Chlamydomonas reinhardtii: one gene and its partners. Each later gene encodes a partner of the first gene's protein in a complex. Links are inferred from orthologs where the notes say so. Each region holds a gene or a part of one and is shown on either strand. Other genes may lie near its edges. The genes, in order: CHLRE_01g051100v5, CHLRE_16g688750v5 and CHLRE_17g712000v5.

Region 1 (7,083 bases):
CTGGGCCGTCCCCAGGGCCCCCTTTCCCACACAAAAGCTACGGCAACCCTTCCCATCCCATCGCGACCCTGTCCAGTCTTCCTCCTTCCACCCTCACCTGGTTGAACAGGCGCTGGTCGTACTGCACCTCGCCGCCGCCGCCCACGTTGGCCATGCCCAGCGCAACCTTCTCGCTGATGTCGCGCTCCCGGTCGCGAGTGATCTTGCTCTTCTTGGCGCCGCCCTGGTTGGCGGCCTGTGTGTGCGTGCGCACGGTACAGAGAGTGGGCGGGAAGTGCAGCGAGGGCGTTGGTGCAGCGCAGCGCAACAGCATGAAAGCAACAACAACTGACACAGATGAGGGGCCGACACACGCCATTGGAGCAAGACTTGAAGGTAACACCTGTGCATTTTCCCCATCCGGTCCGCCCAGTCCTACACCCACGCCGCAACACCCCAGCCCGCTCCCCACCTCGAGCCGCCGCTCCCGCTCGCGCTCCCTCCGCCGCTCCTCGCGGATCTCGTCACGCCGCCGCCGCTCCTCCCGCTCCGCCACCGACTCCTGGTACCGCTCGTCCTCACCGCCGCCCCGGCCGCCGCGGTCGGCGTCCCTCTCCCGCTCCCGGTCCTGTAGGGGACATGGTTGTGTGGTCCGGGGATAAGTATACTGTCAGGGACAAGGTTGTACCGAATAGAGGGTGCGTGGGCCGGGGTGCGGTGGTGACGTGGTATGGCCGTGGAAGATGTTGCAAGGGTATCCATTTGCAGGCGGCCTGTCTTCGGCGCTGCAGTCCCGTGCCCGTGCGAGGTCTCATCTGGCGCCAGTGTGAAACCCGGGCCGCGACTGGGGCGCAGCTAGGTGCTTTAGGGCGCCAACTGTTGATCCACGTGGGTGTGCAGGTCGTGGTTTCCGGCTGCAACTGACTACTGACGGCGTGCATAGGTGCCAAGCGTAAGTGTGCTGCGGGGAGCGATATCATCAGACAGACGAACCGCTTGCGCAAACCACTGTGTGATGCCTTGGCTGCAACATGCGACACGGCTAATCCTTGAGGTGCGCACAACATTTCCTTCGCGTTCCTGGGTACCTTGCTGTCGCGCACGACGGCACAGAGCTGCTGCCAAACGCATGCAGGCAGCAAGTGCGGCCGCCTCACGCATGCTGCTATTGCGCCCGTGCGAAACCGTAGCCACGATTTGAGACGCGGCAAGGTGCTTAAGGACGCATCTTTTATGTAAAGTCGAAGCATAGAAACGTTTGTGCGATGTAGCGCAGAGCAAGTGAGCAACTCCCACAAGTAGGGGGCTACCAGTAAGCCACCCAACACGCAAATACTCTGGCGCCCGTGCGAAACCGTAGCCACAACAAAAGAATGTGGCGAGGTGCTTTTGGACGCGAGCTGTGTGTTGCTGATCTGGAAAGGAGGCGATGCATGCTGTAGCGACAAGCGGCTGCGGCGCCCACATCAGCAGGAGGGCTACCAGTAAGCCACCCAACACGTAACTACTTTGGCGCCCGTGCGAAACCGTAGCCACAATGATGAACGTAGCGAGGTGCTTTAGGACGCATGCGGTTGTATTTGCAGCTAGGGATGATGGTCTATAGCGAGCAGTGGCGGATGCGATTGCCATGAGGTGGACAGACCACGGATTGCCGCTATCCGCAGTTTCATATGGCGCCCGTGCGAAACCGTAGCAGCGATGTGGACGCAGCCAGGTGCTTTAGGACGCCAAACTAAATGCTGTGTGCCCCAGCCTGAGCAGACCGTCCAAGGCCTTTAAAAGGCCCCGCCCACCCCCGCACTACCTTACCACCCTCCCAACGCCCCACTCACGTATCCGCCTCGCTCGCCGCGGTCATAATCCCGGTCGTAGTCCCGGTCCCGCTCGCCGCGCTCCCGGTCGCCGCCGCGGTCCCGCTCCCGCTCCCGCTCCCGCTCTGGCTCCGGCTCCCGGCGGCGGTCGTAGTCCTCCTCGTGGTCGTCAAAGGCATCTGCGGCGGTGGCGCGGCCGCCGGCGCCGCGCGGCGGCGGCCCGGGCGGAGGCCCGGGTAGCGAGCCCTCCGCTGCGGGCAGACAGCGCGGCCCAACCGTGCAACTCAGCAACCTTGCATTTCGTATCCAAGATGCATCCTATACGCATTCTTAAGTTATGCGTATGTTCAGAGCAAGGATAGCAGTCTGTGATGGCTCCCCAACATTTTGGTTCCTTGCAGGCGCCCGTGCAGCGCTATGCGCTCACCTCTCCCCGCCAAGGGCGGAGGAGGCGGCAAGCCGCCGGCTCCCGCCCCCGCGCCCGGCGCTCCTTGCCGCTCCATGCGCGCCTGCATGGCCAGGTTCCGCAGCTCCGTCTCGCGCTTGTTCTTTTCCTGTGGGCAACAGCAATGAGCGCGGTGGGAAAGGTCGGTCAGTCGGGTGGCCAGTGGGTATTCGGGGCAGGAATAGTTGAGGAAGGCAACACAGCTGGGCCACAGGCATGCCAAGCAAACCGCATCTTGTAAAACCGCTTCGTTCCCGCTATCCGTTCCCTCTTGCCACTGCTCCCCCAATGCCGTACAACCACAAACAGTCCCACCCCAGACTCGGCCCTTCACACCAACCGCCATTCCCTTTAGACCCCTAGCTCGCCGCCCTACCCCTGCTGACCTTAAGCGCGAGCTCCTTCTGGATGCTGGCGCGCATGGTGATGGCCTCTCGCGCCTTGGCCTCCGCCGTGAACAGCGCCTCACTGAGCGCTGCGAACTTGTCGTTGATCTGCGTCTGCTGCAGCCCGCGCCCATCCGCAGCCAGGCGCTTGTCCAGCGGGATGGTGTAACCCTGTGCGTCGCGGAAGCGGTGGGCGATGCGGTGGGAATGGGTGCGGGTTCAGGGAATGCACAGTCCGGTTTATGTACAGAAAGGAGCAAACGGCAACCCCGCCCATATTGATTAGAGAGGCCAAGCCATCTCTGCACCCGCACATACGCCCGACAGCCACGCCCAAAGCCCCACCTTGGGGTTCTTCCAGTTGGAGATGGAGGGCGGGATCTTCCAGTCCTGCTGGTCCTTCACTGTCAGCGGCCGCGGCGGCGAGTGTAGCACGGGCACGGGCGGCGAGCCGGGGCCGCGCGGCACCTTGACGTGCCGGAACTTGGGCGGCTCCAGCGGGTCCACCGGCAGGTCCTGCATCTTGATGATGCGCTGGCCCGCGCCGCTGGCGTACTGCGTACAGGAGAAAGGAGCAGGACTGGCGTGTGACGGCAGGTGCAAGGAGTGTTGTGTGTGTGTGTGGGAGGGGGGGGGGGGTCGCAGTGGGAGAGCGGTCCGACAGAGTTGCGGAGGCCGGCGCCGGTACACCTTGCCGGTATGACACGACTACCAGAACGGCCCCGACTCTCAAGCCATTTTCCATTACAGTAGTACGCAAACGACCGCATACCGCGCCTATGCCTCACCTGCGCGCCTTGCTGCGCCGGCGTGTACTTGATGAGTGTGGAGCCGCCCGGGCCGCCCGGCAGCTTGGTAGGGTTGACGCTGGACAGCTTGCCCTGCACCACCCGCTCCAGCGCAGCCGCCGTCTCCGCAACCGTCTTCTCCACATCCTCCTCATCGGGCCGTGCGAGCGCCTGGGATAGGTGCGGTGCAGCAGTGTGGGCACGGCGCACGCAGCAGTTGAGATGTGCCGAGCTGTGTGCTGGCTGCATACCCCGCGCCGTAACCCACCCGCTCCTGGCGCCTATCTGGCTGCGCTCTTATCGCCCGGCCCCCGTATCAACAAATGAAGTCTCCCTGTATGCTCTTCTCCTTCCCGACGTACTACCCGCGGCGGCTCCGGGTGTCCTCGTTGCGACCACCCACACCAGCGCCGCTCACGCCTCCGCACACCCCGACCTTCCCCCGCGTTGCGCAGACCAGCGGCTCACCTCTTTGCTGAGCCGGTCCACCTTCGGCACAAGTGCGCCATGGTCTGAGTGCACTACGCGGTCCTTGTTCTGCCCCTGCTTGACCACCGCATCGTAATTGATCTCGCCCTTCTCGTTAACGCTGATTGCTAGCTGCTGCTTGCCGCCAGTGCTGCCCTTGCCCATGTCAAGTGGATACTGTGCCACATGAATTTCGGGAAAGGCTCCGCCATCTCCGAAGTCCTCAGCTCGCCGGGGCACCCAGCCCTTGCGCCGCAAATAAGGCGGAGGCTCCTTGAATGAAGCTGAAACTATTGCCGCAGAAGCAGGCACCGGAGCGATCGGGGCTGCGTGCTTTTGCTGGGGAGCCGGCAAGGTGCCGAGCAGCGACATTTTTGGCCCGCCGCGAAGTCCACGGCGGCGGCCCTAAGCTTGGTTAGTCGCCGACCTCAGTTGGAGCTCAGTTCAGCAGCGGCTCAGAGAAGTTTGGCTGGAAATGTGGTCGTTGCCCCGGCTAACGCAGAACGTATGCAACTAAACTACAGTCGATTCCACAGATTCAGAGGCACGAACTATCATATTATGGACAACGTCCGCCCGAGCCACCTTGAGCTATGCGTGCATTGATTCATGCGGGCGGTTCCGCACGCACGCATACTGCGCGATAACTAATTACTAATTACTCGACGCTCACCTTCGTGATTGGTTGCCTTTGACGGAGTCTGAACTGTCTGGCCAAGGGGTGACGCACTGACGCTGGGCAGCCTCCTCTCCCCATGCCCCCCCCCCCCGCGCCCTCCCGCGCTGCCCCCGGACAACGTCTCACGTTGACGTGGTGACGCGGCCGGGTTATCATACCATACGTCATACATGCGTTCTGGGGTCGTCTATATAGTGCCACTGGCTATTGGGCCACGGCGCTCTGCGTTGTCGGGCTGTGGTGGGTTGAGCCTTGGCTTTCCATTTAAGGCGCAATGCCAGAGACACGCGCAACAGCATTCCCGCTCGCCACCAGCTCAGTTCGCTCCCGCCTCGGGCGCTCAGATTCATTATCAGCACTATGCAGCAGCTCTGGGTCACGGTAGCGCGGTACTGGTTATATGGGGGGGGGGGCAGTCTCCGGCGCAGGGCGACGTGTTCCATGATTATCACCGGTGCCTGGGCTGGGGGAACTATGTTTCTGGGGACATTACTATATATAGATACCCTTCGCGTGATGTCACATGTATACAATTACAGAGATATCCAGGCCCTTTGCATCTACTGTTTACGGCCCAGCGGTTATTGCGACTCAGTCCGTACTTCATGAATTGCAGTCCTGTGCCCATGTGGCATCCGCTTTTGCAGGATGGCGCCTGTCCGCAGTACTAAGCACATCGTACGCAAAAGGCCACGATTTCCGTAAAAGGCCCGAGCCGGCCTTCATCCTGCGTGTGCCCTTTTGCACGCGTAAGCTCCACGCCGCATTCCTCCCCTATTTCCGTGGTATGCCAGTTGACCAGTTCGATAGCCGCCATATTAATGCTGTGCCTTCCGACAGCGTCCCTTCGCAGGGATCTGTAATCACCTCATCCCCACGTGCCACTGGCAGCGTCGGTCTCATGCAGGCCAAGTAGCTCTTGTACTAGCACAAGTATGATACCGGCACGCTACTCACTGTCACACAGGTCAATCACCTCCTTCACCTTCTTCAGGCCCCACTTCTTAATGCTGACTGAGGTGGTCGTCTGGCAGTGCTTGCACCGCACCACGACCGACCCTCTGGGCTGCGCGACCACCTCCTCGTGATGATCCACTTCCGGCACCCCCATTGCATGGCGCGTCCCGAGTAGTAGACCGGGTTGGTCTTCTTCAGGCGCTTGCGGCCGGCCCGGCGCCGGCCTCCAGCTGGGCGGCCGTCTCCTTGCCGCTGCCGGACCGGCCCTCCAGCTGGGCGGCCGTCTCCTTGCCGCTGCCGAACCGGCCCTCCAGCTGGGCGGCCTGGTGCCTATCCCTTTAGCGGGTGTTAGCTATGCCCTTCATGATACTATGTATGTGGGTCGCGTGAGTCCAATATGGGCGCGACCCACCGACCCAATCCTGGCTCGCCTCCCATCCGTGGCATCACCCGCGGTCTCGCATACAGAGATCGGATGCTGTCCATATATACCACTTTACCACGCACAGCAGCCACCGCAATACCACAATCAAGCCGACGCCGTATCCCCCAACACCATCTGCCCGCCCATCACCAGAGCGCCGCGTCTACCAGAAGACACGCGCGGGGGTGTTGGCCGCCTCCAGCTGGTGTTCGTGGAAGGGCGGCAGACGGCCAAAGATGCAGGATCCGCCCTCATGCTGCTGCCGTGTGCGGTCGTACATCTCAGCACGCTCCTCGTACCTGCAACGGCATTGCCAGGGCAGCCAGGCAGGGAGGACATTCAGCACGCACCGGCATCGTCTCCACGTGCTGCATCGGTTCCCATAACCCCATGAGAATTCATTCAACTCCCCCCTGTCGGTCTCCTATTGTTCTTCTCCGTGCTGTCCTTGGGCACGGCCGACGCAAACGCCTCTTCCCCACACCCAAAGCACTCACCGCTGCTTGGTAGCACGAGCCACTTGCAGCCGCCCGTCGTCCAGCCCGCTGGCGTCGTCCAGGCCGGACAGCTTGGCCTCCACCTCGGACCGCGCAGTGGTGCGCACAGCCACAGCCTGCCGCTGCCGCGCGCGCTGGTCCCGGTCCGCGCCCTGGTAAGTCAGGAAGTCGGAGCTGGCGTCGCCGCTGCCCCAGCCCTTGCGCACGTAGGTGCCCTCGCTGGGCGCATAGGAGGCGCTGCAGGGGTCCACGCTGGTGATGTGGCTGGTGTCGGCGTAGCGCCTGTCCCAGAAACGGGAGAAGCGGCCCGTGGCGTGCGTGGGCGCCTTGGAGCCCGTTGCCGACAGCCCCGCCGCGGTGCCACCAAAGCCGCCGCCACCCCCGGCGCCTCCAAATCGTGTTGGTGAGCCGCCGTGCGCGTTGGGCAGGGAGGCGGAGCGGCTAAGGGTGCCCATGTCGATGCTGCGCGTGACCGACGGCAGTGAGGTGGCTGGACCTCCTGCACCTCCATTGTTGTTGTTGTTGTCGTGCTGTGCCGGCAGGTCGTTGTTGCCGGCGCGGCTCAGGGACTCCAGGAAGGGCGCCACGCACACGTCGTGCAGGTCGTCAAGCGAGGTGCGGTCCGCAGCCGGCCGGGTGGTCACGG
Region 2 (6,849 bases), on another chromosome or scaffold:
CATCAGCCGTTGATTTGCCAAAGTTATAGCAGCATACTCCTCCAAGGTTAGAAGTTACAGACCTCGAACCTTAGTCGAGGGTGGAGGGGCACGTGCGTCAGCGAGGCACAGTCAAGAACGAGTAGGTTAACCCCGCCAATGGTGGCATTCATGGCTTTGGCACGCATGCCGGCTTGCCGCCTGGACCCCGGCCCCATGGCCGCCCTCACGCCGCCGCCACAGACCACAGCCTCTGGAACTCTCCACCACCCAGTTCCCCCACGCACCTTCTCCAGCTCCTTGCCGCTCTTGCGCCCGTCCGCCCGCTTGACTCCGTACTGGTAGGCGGCCTTGGGGTTGTGCTCGCGCGACTCCTTGTAGCGTGTGTACTCCTCGTCAGTGGTGAAGTCAGCCCTGCGGGTGCATACGAGCGGGTGGGAAGGGGAGTGGCGGGAGGCATAAATACACAGTGCCTGGGACTTCCGATGCTGAGGCGATTTGCGCCAGTCTGCAGCAGCTGTTGGCCACGGGCCCCGACACCTGTCACTCCGGCGCCTCCTCCCTCCCCTCCCTTCGTCCTCCGTCCTCCTGCCCCCGCGTGCAGCCCACCGCTCCCTCCCGCTCCCTCCTCACCGTGTCTTGCTCTTGTTGGCTGTCTTGGAGTCCATGTCAGCCGTGCCGGCCTTGTCGCCCTCGTCGTCGCTGTCCGCCAGCGCGCCCGCGTAGCCCGCCATGCCGGGGTAGTACTCGGCGTAGGCGTCGTCCTCGCCGTCAGCCTCGCCCAGCACCGCCTTCACCTTGGCGTCCTGAGGAGGGAGAGGAAGAGGAAGGGAGGGAGGGAGGGAGAGGGAGGGAGAGGGAGGGAGAGGGAGGGAGAGGGAGGGAGAGGGAGGGAGAGGGAGGGAGAGGGAGGGAGAGGGAGCCAGGGAGAGAGGGTGAGCAGGGAGGGAGGGCGCAGATGAAAATTGGGAGGGCAGGCGTGAGCGGAATCAGAAGGCGATGGACCAAGGGACTACTTGCACCATGCACTTGACGGCTGAGGTAAGCCAATGGGCGCTAGGGCAGGGCGCCCGGCACGCGAGTAGACCCGCTCCCCCAGGTGACATGCTAGTGCTAGTCTGACTCACTCGCGTGCGGCTAGCCCTCCAGCGAGGCTCCTCTGCGGTGCCGTAGGCGTTGGCGGCCTACACGGTTGGGGGCGTTTGATTGTTTGCTAAGCCCACATGGGAAATGAGTGCCTGTGTATGCGTGTGAGTATGTGTGTGCATGCAATGTGTTTGTTCGCGCGCTGATAAGCACACTGCCTCGGCGTACCAACATAACGTACAGAGGCGCAGTGCATTCCTCACACACTCAGCTCACGCAGCCCCCTCACCTGCTGCGGCGCTTGCCCGTACGCGCCGCCTGCGCCGTACTGCCCGCCGTACACCGGGTTGCCGTACGCATCGTACCCCTGCACCACCTGCGCCTGCCCGCCGTAACCCTGCGGCTGCGGCCCGGGTGCCGGCGCCGGCGCCGCCTCGCCCTCCTCCAAGTCCATGTCATCATCGCCGCCGCCGCCGCCGCCGCCGCCTCCATCTGCGCCTTGGTCCGCCCCGCCGCCCGGCCGCCTGAGACGGGTGCCGGGCAGCGCGATGTCGTCCATGGTGTCCTTGGTGTCAAAGTAGGAGCCGTCCGGCCGCCTGTGTGCGTGCGTGCGCGGGCGTGTGTGTTAAAAAACGAGACGAAGCCCGCCCAGACGACGGCGGGCGTGCGTGTGCGTGTGTGCGTGATTGCGTGCGTGCGTGCTGTAGGCATGGCCGATGCGGTAGATATGCGACGCGGGTGACAGGTCGTTGAGACAGGTCGTTGAGCGCACACACAAGTCCGAGGGTAATCACGAGCCCCCATGCCACCAACACGCCACGCCTTCCAGCCCAAAGCGCCCGCCGGCCGCACCTGGCGCCCGGTGGAGCCGCCGCATCCTTGGCCTTCGCCCCCTTGGTGGTGGGTTGGTAGTCGGTGCCGGCGTCTCCGAATATGTCTTCATCGTCGTCCACGGGGGCGGCCGGCTTGGCGGGCTCCGCGGCCGCGGCCGAGGCCGGGGCGCCAGGCGAGACGCCGGCGAGGTCCTTCTCGGCGGCGTCTGCCTCAGACTTGATGCCCTACAGTGGCGGTATGCGCAAGGGCGGTATGCGCAAGGCGCGATTGGCGGTGCGATTGTTAGTGTGACAGGTACGCGTACGCTGGGGTGTAATGCGGTGCGAAGACCTTCGCTATCGCCACTGCTGGACTGCGCGGCCTGTGAAATAGCGCCCCCCCCCTCACTGCGTGTCCTCCACGCCTCCATTGTATGGCGTAACACGTGCGCACAAACCCCCAGCCCCCAAACCTGTAACTGGCGACCGGTTAATCCGAACCCGACCTTATGCCACTTGCTGATGCCCCAACCGCACAGCCACCCAGTCATCCAGCCACCCACCGAGTCACCCGGAGCTACCCAACCCAACGTAAAGCCCCCACACGCACCAGCAGCGCGTCGCGGTCCTTCTTCTTGAGCTTCTTGCCGTCCGCGGTGGTGCGCACATAGCTCATGATCTTGGCGATGCGCTCCAACACCGCGTTGTCCACCGCCGCAAACAGCGTCTCAGCCACCTACACGGGCAGCAATGGGACAACATATTTTACGGCAGCGTGGGCGAGCGCATTCAAAGTGCGGTACCCACTGCATCTCAGCATGGGTCCACGGGGCACTGGAGATGCGCCTCCAGGGCCGGGAGCACAGGCAGCCGGCGCACGCACCTGCGGGCACTCGCTCTTGGGCCGGCGCAGTGTGGTGGGCACGTCGGTGTCGGGCGAGTCCTCGTTGTCGAAGTCGTACACAAAGGCCGTACGGCGGGGGCCGTACATCTCCCGCACGTTGGAGGCGCGCGGCGGCGCGAACAGGGTGCTGAAGACGGAGCGAGCCAGCGGCGTCACAAAGCGGACCTGCTCGGCATGAGCATGTGTGTACGCGCAAGGAACGGATATGCTAACGCGGGTGTGGGCAGTGGGATGGTCAGAAGCGGGAGTCGTGAAGGGCATTAGAAGCCGTCACACGTCGCAGGCGTGCGGCGCAGGCTCTACGTGGACCAAGACCTTCAGCATACAAGAATGAGCCCCCCCCTTCACAATCCAGTCCAACCCTTTCCTTTTGGGGCGCCCTCTCGAAGCACCTCGCACACGACCGGATGCGCACACACCTCCTCCTTGCGCCCCGCCGCTGCGTTGGCCTTGGCGGCCGCCCGCGCCGCCGCTTCTCGTGACGCCTCCTTCCGCGCACCGTGCCCCTCGCCGTGCTCCTCATCCTCCTCGTCGCTGTCTCCCTTCTTGGTGATCTCCGACCGCGTCTGCGCATATGCAGCGTGCATGCGTTGAAAGACTTGTCTAGCGGTTCATTACCATTGTCTGCAGCCCCAGCCTTGCCCGCTCCCCCCAGTGTCCCAGGTGCTCCCCGATCCTGGCACTCCGTGACACACCCCTCCTCCTTACTGTCCTTCCCCAGGAGGCTAGCACCCCGCTGCCAGTGCCTCACTGACCGCACGGCCCCACGGCAGCACGGCCCCCCACGCCAGCACGGCCCCACGCCCCCACCTTGTGCAGCAGGGCGTAGTCCAGACCCTTCACCAGATGGGTGAAGCGCATGTCGCCTCCCAGGTACTTGGTCTCCTCCTCCGACAGCTTGCTCAGATCCACCTGCCCACCCCGGCAGCCCGGGCAGGACACAGTGTGAGGTTGCGACATGACAACATGCAAGACGGGACGGCCCAATGAAGGACCATCTACGGCCAAAGGAACGGTAATCTTTATTGGATGCGGACGGCATGTGCCGCAGTCGAGCACCCTCATCCTCAAGCAACAGGGAAAGACGCCCAAGCCACAAAGCCCGCACTGCCACGGCTGGCGCTGCAAGTAACCTCCCGCTTCTCCTAAATCATCCGCCTCAGCAGTATCGTCGCATACTGGCACAGGCAACCGCCCCCCTTGTGCTCTCCTAGCACACGGCCCCCCGGCCATAGTCCTGCCCAGGGCCGCACCTGGCCAATGTCGGGGCCCAGGGGCCCGCCGCCACCCGCCCCGCCGCCGCCGCCGCTGCCCCCCAGAGCAGACAGCACCGCGGACGCGTCCTCGTAGTCGCTGTTCTTGCCGCGGCGGCGCTCCTCCGCGCGGTCCCTGTTGGTTGTCAAGGTTTCAAGGAGGATGGGCGTGGTGGATGACGCGTGGAGGGTGCGTGACACGAGTCCAGTGGAGTATGTGCGCTGTGCATCGTTAGGCTCATGTCAGCATGCACATCGGTGTCGCGGGGTCGCCAATAGCGGCGCCCATGCCGGCCGCTCGTGTGGGAGCTGGGAGGTGCCCACGGCCTGCGTGTCCACTGCGCTCCTCACCCAAGCCGTGCGACCCGTCATACCTGTACTTGGGCCCGTCCTCGTCCTCATCCTCCTTCTTCTTGTCAGTCGGCTTCTTGAAGCCCGGCTTGGGCTTGGGCCGGTACTCGCCCGTGGGTTTGGCTTTGGCCTGCGCCTGCGCCTGCCCAGACTTGCCTGCTGCGGGTGTCTCCCCGCCAAAGCGTTCCGCCCTGGGCGTTGCCAGCAGTCTTCGGAAGTCATCATTGTTCATTTTTGCTACTTTGGACTATAGTAACATGAGACAATTGTTTTTTGGGAGGAGCCAGAGCCCCGCGCAGCAGGAAGATTTGTTGGTATCGCGCAGCGGCCTTAAGCTCTTTCTTGTGCACAAAATGTGTAGTATGAGGAAAGAATGCAGTTACGGTATGTTTGTTCCTTTACTCTTGTTGCACCGTGGTCCATGCTGTCCATGCGAGCTCGCCCGAAATACTCGTTCTGGAATGAATTCCAAGCAATCACTGTTAGATCTCAGTATATCTATAGTTGCCTACACTGGGTTTGCGGAATTGACACTGCGTTGCTTGGGCGGCTCTGTGTGCACCTCGCGAACTAGTCTGCACTTCGTCGAGCATGTCTACCTACGCCGGGTCTAGTCTATCGGCCAAGGAAACATGGAAATCTAAAAAGGCCAAGACCAACTTGGTCGACGCGACCCTCAACATCGTGCAAGCCTGGGCCCTGCCGGTGCTGGTCGGTGGCTACCTGGTCCGCCGTTTCCTACAGAACCGCAAGAAGGCGCCCAAGGCGCCCGATGCGGCAGGCGCCGCGAAGGCCGAGCAGGCTGACGCTGATAAGGCTGGCGCGGAGCGCAAACCGCGCCGGGACTACAAGGTGAAGCGCGACCAGGAGGGCCCGCTGCTGGCCGGCGCCGACGACGAGGAGGTGGAGGTGCAGCCACACGACGAGGTGATGGAGGGGTACAGCGAGAGCGAGGTGGATACGGCGGGCGCGGCCGCGGCGGGGCCAGGCGGCAACAACACAGCCATGCTGAAGATGCTGCAGCAGATGGGCTACCGCGTGGTCATGCCCAAGGACGGCAGCGGGCAGGTGTACCTGGTGCCGCCCGGCGCCGCGGGACCGGACGGGGAGACGATTGAGGAGGGTGAGTGAGGCGTGCTGCTGGGGTTCGGCGTGTGGCGTGCCGTGTGGGGACGGATTTAGGGATGGATGGGGGCCTGGGGCAAGAGTGGGCTGGGTGGCTGTGGGCGTGGTGGCGGCGGGGTGGCTGCGGGGTGCGGGGCACGCGAGGGGACGGAGCCGCGCGGAGCTGCGTGAAGCCAGGGGAGAAAGAGGGTCGTCCTTGGGTTGAGGCGTTGCCGCCTCGTGGCGCGCATCGCGCATCCACCACCTTCCCAGTTGACTGGCACCCAGCAGTTGACTTGTGGTCGATCGCTTCGCAGTATCAATGCGTAGGACGCACCTTCCTGCCACAGCGCTTTACCTGTTAGTCACTTCCGTGTGCTCATGCTGCATACCCTGCAGGTGACGAGGACGAGGAGGAGGAGATGGAGGAGGTGGAGGGCGATGAGTAAGCAGCTGGCACGGGGCGCCCTGCTCACGCGCGTGCTCCATGAACGGACAGAGGAGTGCCTCGTTCGCAGACCAGCTTTGTGATGGGTCTGGGTGCGGGAAGACGTGGTTGCTGGAACGTTGGTGGGGTGTGCGCCTCTGTGCGCATAGCATTAGCAGAGGCTTATCCGCCTGTGAGCAATGAGTAAAGAGACCTGACAAAGGACATTGTTGTGTGCGTGTCGTTCTTACGTATGACTGTTGAGTATGTGTGTATGTGCCTTGACTTGGACGCCGTGCATGACTTGTCTCGGGAAGTTTGCGTTGGCTGGCGCTCTTGCGCATGTGTGGAGATGCTGCTGAGGATAGGCAGGCACTCTCTGCTGCAGTATGTTACCGTATGCTCGGCGCATCGTAACGCCGCATTGGTGTGTGGAGGTAGAGGACAGGCGTACACGGTTGGCTCGTTCCGAGCGCTGGGGTGCTGCGGGACGGTGCGTTGGGCCCACGGATTGGCGATGTAAACACATCGCCTGCATCACAGATACCAGTTACTCTCACAGTGCCCTCCACGGGTGCGACATGCCCCCAGGGTATTAGGGCCATCCGTGGCTCTCGCCAATGCGGCGTCCCTGCACGCCGAAGCAATGTGTTGAGTACTTGAGTTCGCGCCTAAAACAGACGACCACTCAGGACGGTGTAAGAGGGCTAGCGCTGAGACAGGATCAACCTATCTAGCACCTCACATGGGCAGGTGCAGGTTTGGGTGGGTGCAGGTCCATTTGAGGTAACATGTCTGCTCTCAGTGCGTTCTGCTGACCGCTGTCACTGCTTGCAAGGGACAACAAACTCCGTTGCCGTCTGCATTCGCATTTAAGCATCTTAGTGACCGTTCTTACACATTTGACTTCCTGCAAGCCAACCAGTTACCGGT
Region 3 (7,053 bases), on another chromosome or scaffold:
ACTCCTCAGGAGCTGTCCTCCTCTGTGGTCAAGGCGGTGCACTGGGACCGCATCGCCGTCTTCCACTACGTCACGCGCAGGTGCAGCGGCTGGGAGGCGGGCGGCGGCCGTGGTCATGGGGCATGAAATCACACAGAAACGGGTACATACCGTGGGTACATACCCAGCACCTAGTACCGTATGCTTCTTACGAGGCTTTGGCTGCTGTACGAATGCGCTAGGTCCTACGCATAGCTTTGCTTGAGCCAACATAATCAGGGCTCACCCGCCCTTGCCACCACCACACGCGCATCACTCCCCACCATCCCTCGCGTCACTCCGCGCAGTGCCGAGGACTACAAGGCCAAGATGGGTCGCGGCACGGGCCACTCGCAATTCCTGGCCGCCAACAAGGCTGCCGGCCGCACCCACCGCGGCTGGCGCTACTTCCTCACCGTCAACGCCTCCGCCACCGCCACCTGCGTGGAGGGCCGCGACGCATGGCAGCGCTGCTGCAGCGCAAGGAATGGCGGCGGCGGCGCGGCAGCAGCGGGAGCGGGGGTGGGGTTGGTGGCAGGGGCAGGCGTGGGGGCGGGAGCGGCAGTGGCGGGCGCAGGAGGAGGGGCAGCAGGGGTAGTAGGGGGCGCCGCGGTCGCCGCGGGTGCGGGCGTTGGCGATGGCGGGGGCAGCGTGGGCGCAGCGAACGCGGTTGTAGGGAAAGTATCAGGCATGGCAGGAGGGGCAAGTGGGACGGTGGGCCTAGGGATAGGAGGCGGCGTCAGCGGCGGCGCTGGGGCTGGGGCCACAGCAAGAGCGGAATCGGAGAGTGTAGGGACAGGATCTAAAGGTGCGGAGGCTGGTGGAGCCGCCGGTGCTGGTGGTGCTAGTACCCGTGCCGCGGCGCAGGGTGCTGCGGCGGTGGACGATGGGTTACAGGTCGGGACGCGGACAATCCTGGAGTGATAAGCAGTCTTGACTCATCAACGGGACGGACAGACGGGCCCTCAGGTGACCTGGACGATAGCTTGGATGACCGGAACGGATGAAAGCTTGAACGCCTTGAAGGTGACTGAGTACGACCAATGCCTGCTGTGCGCGCAGGGGTCTGGCCGTCTGGGCGTGGGGTTTGAGCTACTGCACATGAGTCGCGGCACATAACAGCCAGTGCGTTACAGTTCCCTAAGCTTTGTATTTCCGCTTTGTTGCTTTGGCTCCATGCCTCCACTCCGGCAGCTTGGCATCCTCCTTGGCGTCTGCAGCTCCATGTTTCGTGTCGCCCCATAGCCCCCATGCCTGGGACGCAGCACACCTGCACACGCGCAAGCACCGCACTTACTCTCTCCTGCGCGCCCGCATGCTCTCAACGGGCGCTCAACCGCTGCCTCCGCGGGACACCAGACTCGTCACTTCATTGTATTAGGCGTCGCCATCCTATCCCTTCCACTGCAGCATGCCTGGTTGCCCTTGCGGCGCCCGGGGGCACCTCTGGCGGCGCCTGCCATGACCATCAAGCCAATCGGGCTCGACTTCATGATTTGTATCACAAAAGCGCTTGTGCACCCTCTCCTGCCCCTCGTCCTGCCCCTCGAACTACCCGGCACTGCCAGTACCCACATCACGTAAACTAACAAACACGTCACTAGTGACACACCCTGCTCTGGCCAACGGCCAAAGCGCCGTGGCCAACTCTCGCCGCCATGCTTAGTCGCGTACAGGCGAGCGGCTGCGGCTGCGGCTCCGCAGCGGCGGCGGCGAGCGCCGGGGCGGCGAGGCTGAGCGCTCACGGATGGGGCTGGGGCTACGCGGCCGGCGCTCGCCCACAGGGCTATCGCGGCGCGGGGACGACCTACGTTTACAAAAGGAACCATGAACGTTTGAAGGATTGGGCGACTAATGTGAACATTTGAAGCAATGCGTTGAAATAGCTGTCCGCCCAAGTCCGCCAGATGACCCGCAACGTTTCGACAGCACGCGAGTCAAGAGGCGGCACAGAACGTATTTGTGATCACACATCAATACAAAAGCGCTTACCGGCGTGGCGGGCTGGGGCTGCGGCGGCGGATGGGGCTGGGGCTGCGGCGGCGGATCGGGCTGGGGCTGCGGCGGCGCAGCGGGCTGGGCGACCGGCGGCGCAGCGGGCTGGGCGACCGGCGGCGCGGCGGGCTGGGCGACCGGCGTCGCGGCGGGCTGGCGCGGCGGCCGTAAGGGCTGGGGCTCCGGCGGCGCATAGGGCTCGGGCTGCGGCGTCGCGGCGGGCTGCGGCGGAAGTCGTCGAAGCGGTCCGGGGGGGGGCCGCGGAAGGCGCCGCCGCCGCCGCCGCCGCCGCCGCGCCCTGGGGGCGGACCGCGGTTGCGGGAGATCTCCACACGCTGCAGTAAGGAATAGCAAGCCAAACAACACTTAGTTCTGTGTCCATGATAAGCGATCCACTTCATTGACATCAAGCCTACCTTGCGCAACACACACCCAGGTCACCCACAACCTCGTCAAGTCACCGGCAGCACGTACGTTGCGTCGCGACTCACCCAGCCCTTCATGCCGTCCAGAGCGCGCACCGCGTCCTCCGCGTCACGGAGGTCATCCATCTCAATAAACGCTGCAGGTTGAGAGCGGAGGAAGTTACAGGGAGGGCGCAGGCGTCAGGAAACGGCATTTCAATGTTGTTGAGAGGCTCTATTTCCTGTGGTGTATCCAATGAGGCTGAATGAGGCTGCTGGCAAAGGGCAGGCGCGGAGCAAGCGAGGAGCTGCTTCCCGTGTGTGCAGTCACGAGGACTGCTAGTGTAAGCCGCGCGCTGCCTGTGCAACCCACGACCTACGCCAGGGAGGGTGGGGCGAGCACAGGCGGTGGCGGGTGGCCGCCAGTGGGCGAGCAGGTGGCAGGTGTGGGGGCGGTGTTGCAGGTGAGGCGGTGCAGGCTGGTGAGGGTTGAAGTGGCTGAGGCGTGGTCGTTGCTGACGTGTGCACAGGCCACAGGGGCCATTGCTGAAGGGCATGGGTGTAGCTGACGGTGAAGGGTGATGCGGCTGAGGCGCGGCGAGGACGGCGGGGTTGGCGACGGGTAGAGGGAAGGGGACGGGCCCGATGCGATACTAGGACGAGCCGAGAAGGCGCAGTGGGCGGCAGCAGATGAGCTGCCGCCAGTACATATATGACGCAGGCGGTGTGCGTTGATGGGGTCGTGCTTGGAGATGGGAAGAGGAGAAGGCGATGCGTGCGACGGGGTTGGGGAGCGCAGGAGGGTGGGCCGACAGTAGGTCAGGCTGGGTTGTGGTCGCATCAGCGAGGCTTGTCATCCTGCGGGGGTTAGGTCAATGCGCTCTCTGTCCAGCCTCCAGCGTAGAGCGGCGAGCCCAACTGGCCGTGCCGAGTACATTTAGACCCTCGCCTGTCTTGGCCCCTGCGCTGCTCCCGAGGTGCGTGTATGCTTACCAAATCCTGCGGTAAATTGGAGGACAATAGGGCGCGCAGAAAGTCAGCACGGTGCACAGCGCGCCGCGATCGCTAGAATTGCAGCGACTCGCTCGCTCACCTGGAGGCTTGCGCGCCACCCAGATGTTCCTTAGCCTGCCGAAGCGCACGAACTCTGTCTCCAAATCCTCCTCACGGATGCCCGAGGGCAGGTTACCTGGACAGCCGAAGACACGAGGCGTGACTGCCAAGAGCGGTGCCAGCGGCTGCCCCCTTAGCCAGAGCAGCTCAGCATACTATCGTTCACTTACCGACATACACACGCGCCATAGCCACCTGCTCCTGAACCTAAACCTAGACGCTGAAACGACTTCAGAAGATTCCTTTTAACCCTCGCCCTCGCTCGTTAGTTCGTTCGCAGATGCAGACCTTGAACAATTATGCCCTTATGAGTACAGCGTCTTATGCATGCAGCTTGCAGAGACAGGAGTTTTGCTCAGCTGGGCGGATTGCCTACATGAATCCCAAGTCTGCGCCAGCCTGTAACAAAACACACGCTTGCCCAGAAGCCCTATTGATGCTCTGTGAATTCCTTGCACCAGCGGTAACGATGCAGCGGCCTGCGGAAAGTGACGTCGGCGATGCCCCACTGACGCAGGCCGAACTAGCGGCACAACTAGGGAAATTTGAGGGATACAAGGAGAAACTAGAGGCAGACATCGATAAGCTTGAACAGCGGAGGGCGAAGCTGCAAGAGGACTCGGGTGAGTTGGACGGACTGGGGTTTGGGGCGGGCGTGTCCAGTTACACTGGGAGGGCCAAACTGTGTCAAGGGTAGGAGTGGCCGTTGGAAAGCCGTGGGATACGGCGGAAGAAGGGCCTCAAACTAGGAGTGAGGCCGTTGCCTGGCCTATGGACATATGGCCTGTGGATCAACGCGTTGGCCCGCCGCCGCAACATCCACCCGTTGCTCTTGCGGTGTCATTTCACAGACGAGTACGAAAAGCTTGTGGCCGGTGTGGCCACGTTCGTCAAGGTGAGTGGCAGCATCTGGAAGGTTGTGTTATCGCCTGGGTGCGGGCAACACCCGTTGCAACCTGGTCGGCGGCGAGCCAGCTCCATTATGCCCCGCTACCCGCATGCGTACCTCGCCTCTCTTGCACCGCACCCACTTGTAAACTCTACTTCGCATCGCCATGCAATCCCAGCACTAACGCCTCACCTCTGCTACCCCCACCCTAACCTCAACCCCTCCTAACCGCATTCAGGACGGCGCCACCTCTCTCGAGGGCCAGCGTGTGGACGTGGGCTGCGATGTCAAGTGCGCGGCGCGTGTGCCAGACGTCAGCAGGATCTACGTGTCCGTGGGCCTAGGATTTCACGTGGAGTCGGCGCTAGGGGAGGTGCGGGGCCTGGTGGCGCCGCGGCAGGAGCACCTTCGGCAGCAGCTGGCGGAGCTGGACAAGCAGCTGGGGGACGCCAGGGCCACGGCGGCAGCGTTTAAAGGCTCACTGCAGATATTGAAAGAGGGCGCGACGGTGTGAGCGTGCAGGGACCTTTAGGAGAGATAGGTTGGGGCTAGCGCACGCGTGCAGATGCGATGGTGGCGGGGAGTGGATTGTGGGCCCCGATGCGGAGCTGTGCCGGTGTGCCTGAGCGGGCACACGCTTTGACAGCACAAATAAGCGACGAGCTGGTCCTGATGTAAAGAAGCTTCTGATTGATGCCGACTTGCAAAGCACCCCTACACTGCGCCCCTGTCTGTTTCGCTCGCCCGATCCGGTGAGCGCCGTGCCATGTCACGCCATTTGCCGTGTACGTAGCACCGAGATATCGTGCGCAGCTTTGTCACACGGTGTGAGTATGCAAGCGGCATCCGCTTTGCTGTTTGTAAGCGGGACGCGTCAGTAGCCAGGGCGAGCTGTCGGCACGGGACAAGTGTTCCCCGGGAAAAGCGCACGGTTGAGGGGGCCGGGAAATTGGAACCAAGGCACGCACTCACGTGAATGCCCACAACTTCTGTACGCAAGTTTTACATAGTAATACAGGGTCACACTGATTGACTTGAAGCGACAAAGAGCATTCGAGCTGTTGTCCTTCAATTTGCTCACGCGAAACACAAACTGGTCAAGACTACTCACTTTACTGCTATTATGGCCTTATTGCAAAAGCATAAATGAAATAAGCCCTACAGTGCTTCGCTGCCTATGAAGCAACGATACGGGCTGGGGACTCCCAGCGTGCTGGCGCTGGTAATCCTGGCGCTGTTGGCACAAAGTACGTTGGCCCAGGCCACAGAGCCGCTGGTGCAGAAGGCACTAGAGCTGTTCTTTGGCAACACGGCGAATGCAACTGCTGATGGCGAGCTGCTTGCGATGCTGGACGTTGCGATCACCATGCCGCTGCTCAAACTCAACGGCACGCTGAAAAAGCTGCCTGAACTGGATGAGCACGGCGCATCAGACTGCGTCAGAAGCCTCATTCAGTTCGGCGAAGAGGGGCGCGACAGCACCGCAGCGTGGGCGCAAATGCTCGGGGCGTTCTACACGTCACGTGTTGCAAATATCACGACGGGGCCACCAGACATGTTCGGGCTACGGCAGGCCTTCCCTGTCATCCGCCGCGTGGCGATGGCGCAGCTCGTGAAGGCGTGGTTGACCCGATGGCAGCGTCAGGTGCCCTCAGAACTGGAGGCGCCATTGCAACAGCTGTTCCGTGAGGTATTGCGGGATTGGGCAGAGGCCGGAGTCCTAGTGCATCTTGGCGGGCAGCGCCGCAAGGGCATGCCTGAGGGGGGGGGGCAAAGAGACTTGCTTTCGCCGCCAGTATAGCAGGGCCGACGCCGCCAGCGCGCTAGTGCATCCCTGGCCATCCTCGCAATTTGCTCACAGTTTACTCGCACGCAGCTCACTTGCATATATGCTACAAAGAGGGCGTTAAGCATACTCGCAACTCTGACGCCCTCACCCGGCATTCAGCTTAGCCCTCCGTCGTCTCTCCACTGCCCTGCCTCCTCCTCCTCCTGCTCCCGTTCCCCTGCTGCTGCTGCTCCCCCAGTTCTACGAAGCGCACCGGGTGGTGGCCATCCGCAAGGGCATCATGGAGTACTTCCACATTTCCAAGGCGGGGGGTACAAGCTGGTGCCACGCAGCCAGTGAGACGAGACCGGACTGCGGGGGGGGGGGGGGCGGGGAGGCGATGTGTATGTGTGGGGCGGGGGGGGGGTGTGTTCCGCATGTTGCGTGCTGGCGTGCTGGGGCTGGGGAAACAGGGAGGGCGTGCAAGGGTGCGGGCTGACACAGGCAGCGGACTGTGAGGGCAGCAACGCAGTGGACGCAGTGGTATGGTGTGGGCTTGGACAATGCGCGTAGGGTTGTTGCATCAATGGCCTCAGGAGGAGGCGCACCACCCTGACTTCGCTTCAAAGCCCTGTTCGTCAAGGCACACTGCTACCTTCACACAACCGCGCCACCCGCGTCCCTGCCCCCCAGAGAACAACGGCTGCCGGGCCCAGGTGTACGACTCGGCCTACATCTGCCAAATCGGTCAGTTTGACGACCGCGTGCGCTGGCTCAACAACTCATTCCACGCGCAGCGCACGGGCCGTGGAGCCAGGTGCGTGTGCGATGCGCATTCGCTACGGAGCGATGGCGATGGACGGCAG

What was found.
Region 2: CHLRE_01g051100v5 (region 1) and CHLRE_16g688750v5 share a complex: the UniProt entries of both Arabidopsis thaliana proteins name them as parts of the spliceosome. The link is inferred for Chlamydomonas reinhardtii from reciprocal best matches to the Arabidopsis thaliana genes SKIP and SMU2.
Region 3: CHLRE_01g051100v5 (region 1) and CHLRE_17g712000v5 share a complex: the UniProt entries of both Arabidopsis thaliana proteins name them as parts of the spliceosome. The link is inferred for Chlamydomonas reinhardtii from reciprocal best matches to the Arabidopsis thaliana genes SKIP and RSZ21.

What each region holds. Positions count from the first base shown.
Region 1 is NC_057004.1:7,069,308-7,076,390, reverse strand, and holds the start of CHLRE_01g051100v5 (uncharacterized protein), read right to left. Parts: upstream 4,536-7,083; 5' UTR 4,253-4,535; coding exon 3,881-4,252; intron 3,584-3,880; coding exon 3,413-3,583; intron 3,180-3,412; coding exon 2,970-3,179; intron 2,796-2,969; coding exon 2,625-2,795; intron 2,348-2,624; coding exon 2,221-2,347; intron 2,045-2,220; coding exon 1,815-2,044; intron 608-1,814; coding exon 452-607; intron 236-451; coding exon 98-235; intron 1-97. Other genes in the region: CHLRE_01g051050v5 (uncharacterized protein), read right to left, coding at 6,104-6,239, 6,438-7,083. UniProt on the Arabidopsis thaliana protein: Splicing factor involved in post-transcriptional regulation of circadian clock and flowering time genes. Associates with the pre-mRNA of PRR7, PRR9, ELF3 and GI, and is necessary for the regulation of their alternative splicing and mRNA maturation.
Region 2 is NC_057019.1:3,684,089-3,690,937, forward strand, and holds the start of CHLRE_16g688750v5 (uncharacterized protein), read right to left. Parts: upstream 4,748-6,849; 5' UTR 4,618-4,747; coding exon 4,409-4,617; intron 4,171-4,408; coding exon 4,035-4,170; intron 3,694-4,034; coding exon 3,592-3,693; intron 3,348-3,591; coding exon 3,201-3,347; intron 2,947-3,200; coding exon 2,761-2,946; intron 2,614-2,760; coding exon 2,488-2,613; intron 2,124-2,487; coding exon 1,918-2,123; intron 1,662-1,917; coding exon 1,355-1,661; intron 1,164-1,354; coding exon 1,107-1,163; intron 786-1,106; coding exon 613-785; intron 394-612; coding exon 267-393; intron 1-266. Other genes in the region: CHLRE_16g688800v5 (uncharacterized protein), read left to right, coding at 4,977-5,508, 5,889-5,938. UniProt on the Arabidopsis thaliana protein: Auxiliary spliceosomal protein involved in splicing of specific pre-mRNAs that affect multiple aspects of development.
Region 3 is NC_057020.1:2,066,234-2,073,286, reverse strand, and holds CHLRE_17g712000v5 (uncharacterized protein), read right to left. Parts: upstream 3,832-7,053; 5' UTR 3,720-3,831; coding exon 3,701-3,719; intron 3,607-3,700; coding exon 3,511-3,606; intron 3,417-3,510; coding exon 3,411-3,416; intron 2,576-3,410; coding exon 2,505-2,575; intron 2,349-2,504; coding exon 2,011-2,348; intron 1,826-2,010; coding exon 1,681-1,825; 3' UTR 1,137-1,680; downstream 1-1,136. Other genes in the region: CHLRE_17g712050v5 (uncharacterized protein), read left to right, coding at 10-80, 327-942; CHLRE_17g711950v5 (uncharacterized protein), read left to right, coding at 4,000-4,153, 4,382-4,425, 4,658-4,933; CHLRE_17g711900v5 (uncharacterized protein), read left to right, coding at 5,597-6,109, 6,447-6,543, 6,881-7,004. UniProt on the Arabidopsis thaliana protein: Probably involved in intron recognition and spliceosome assembly.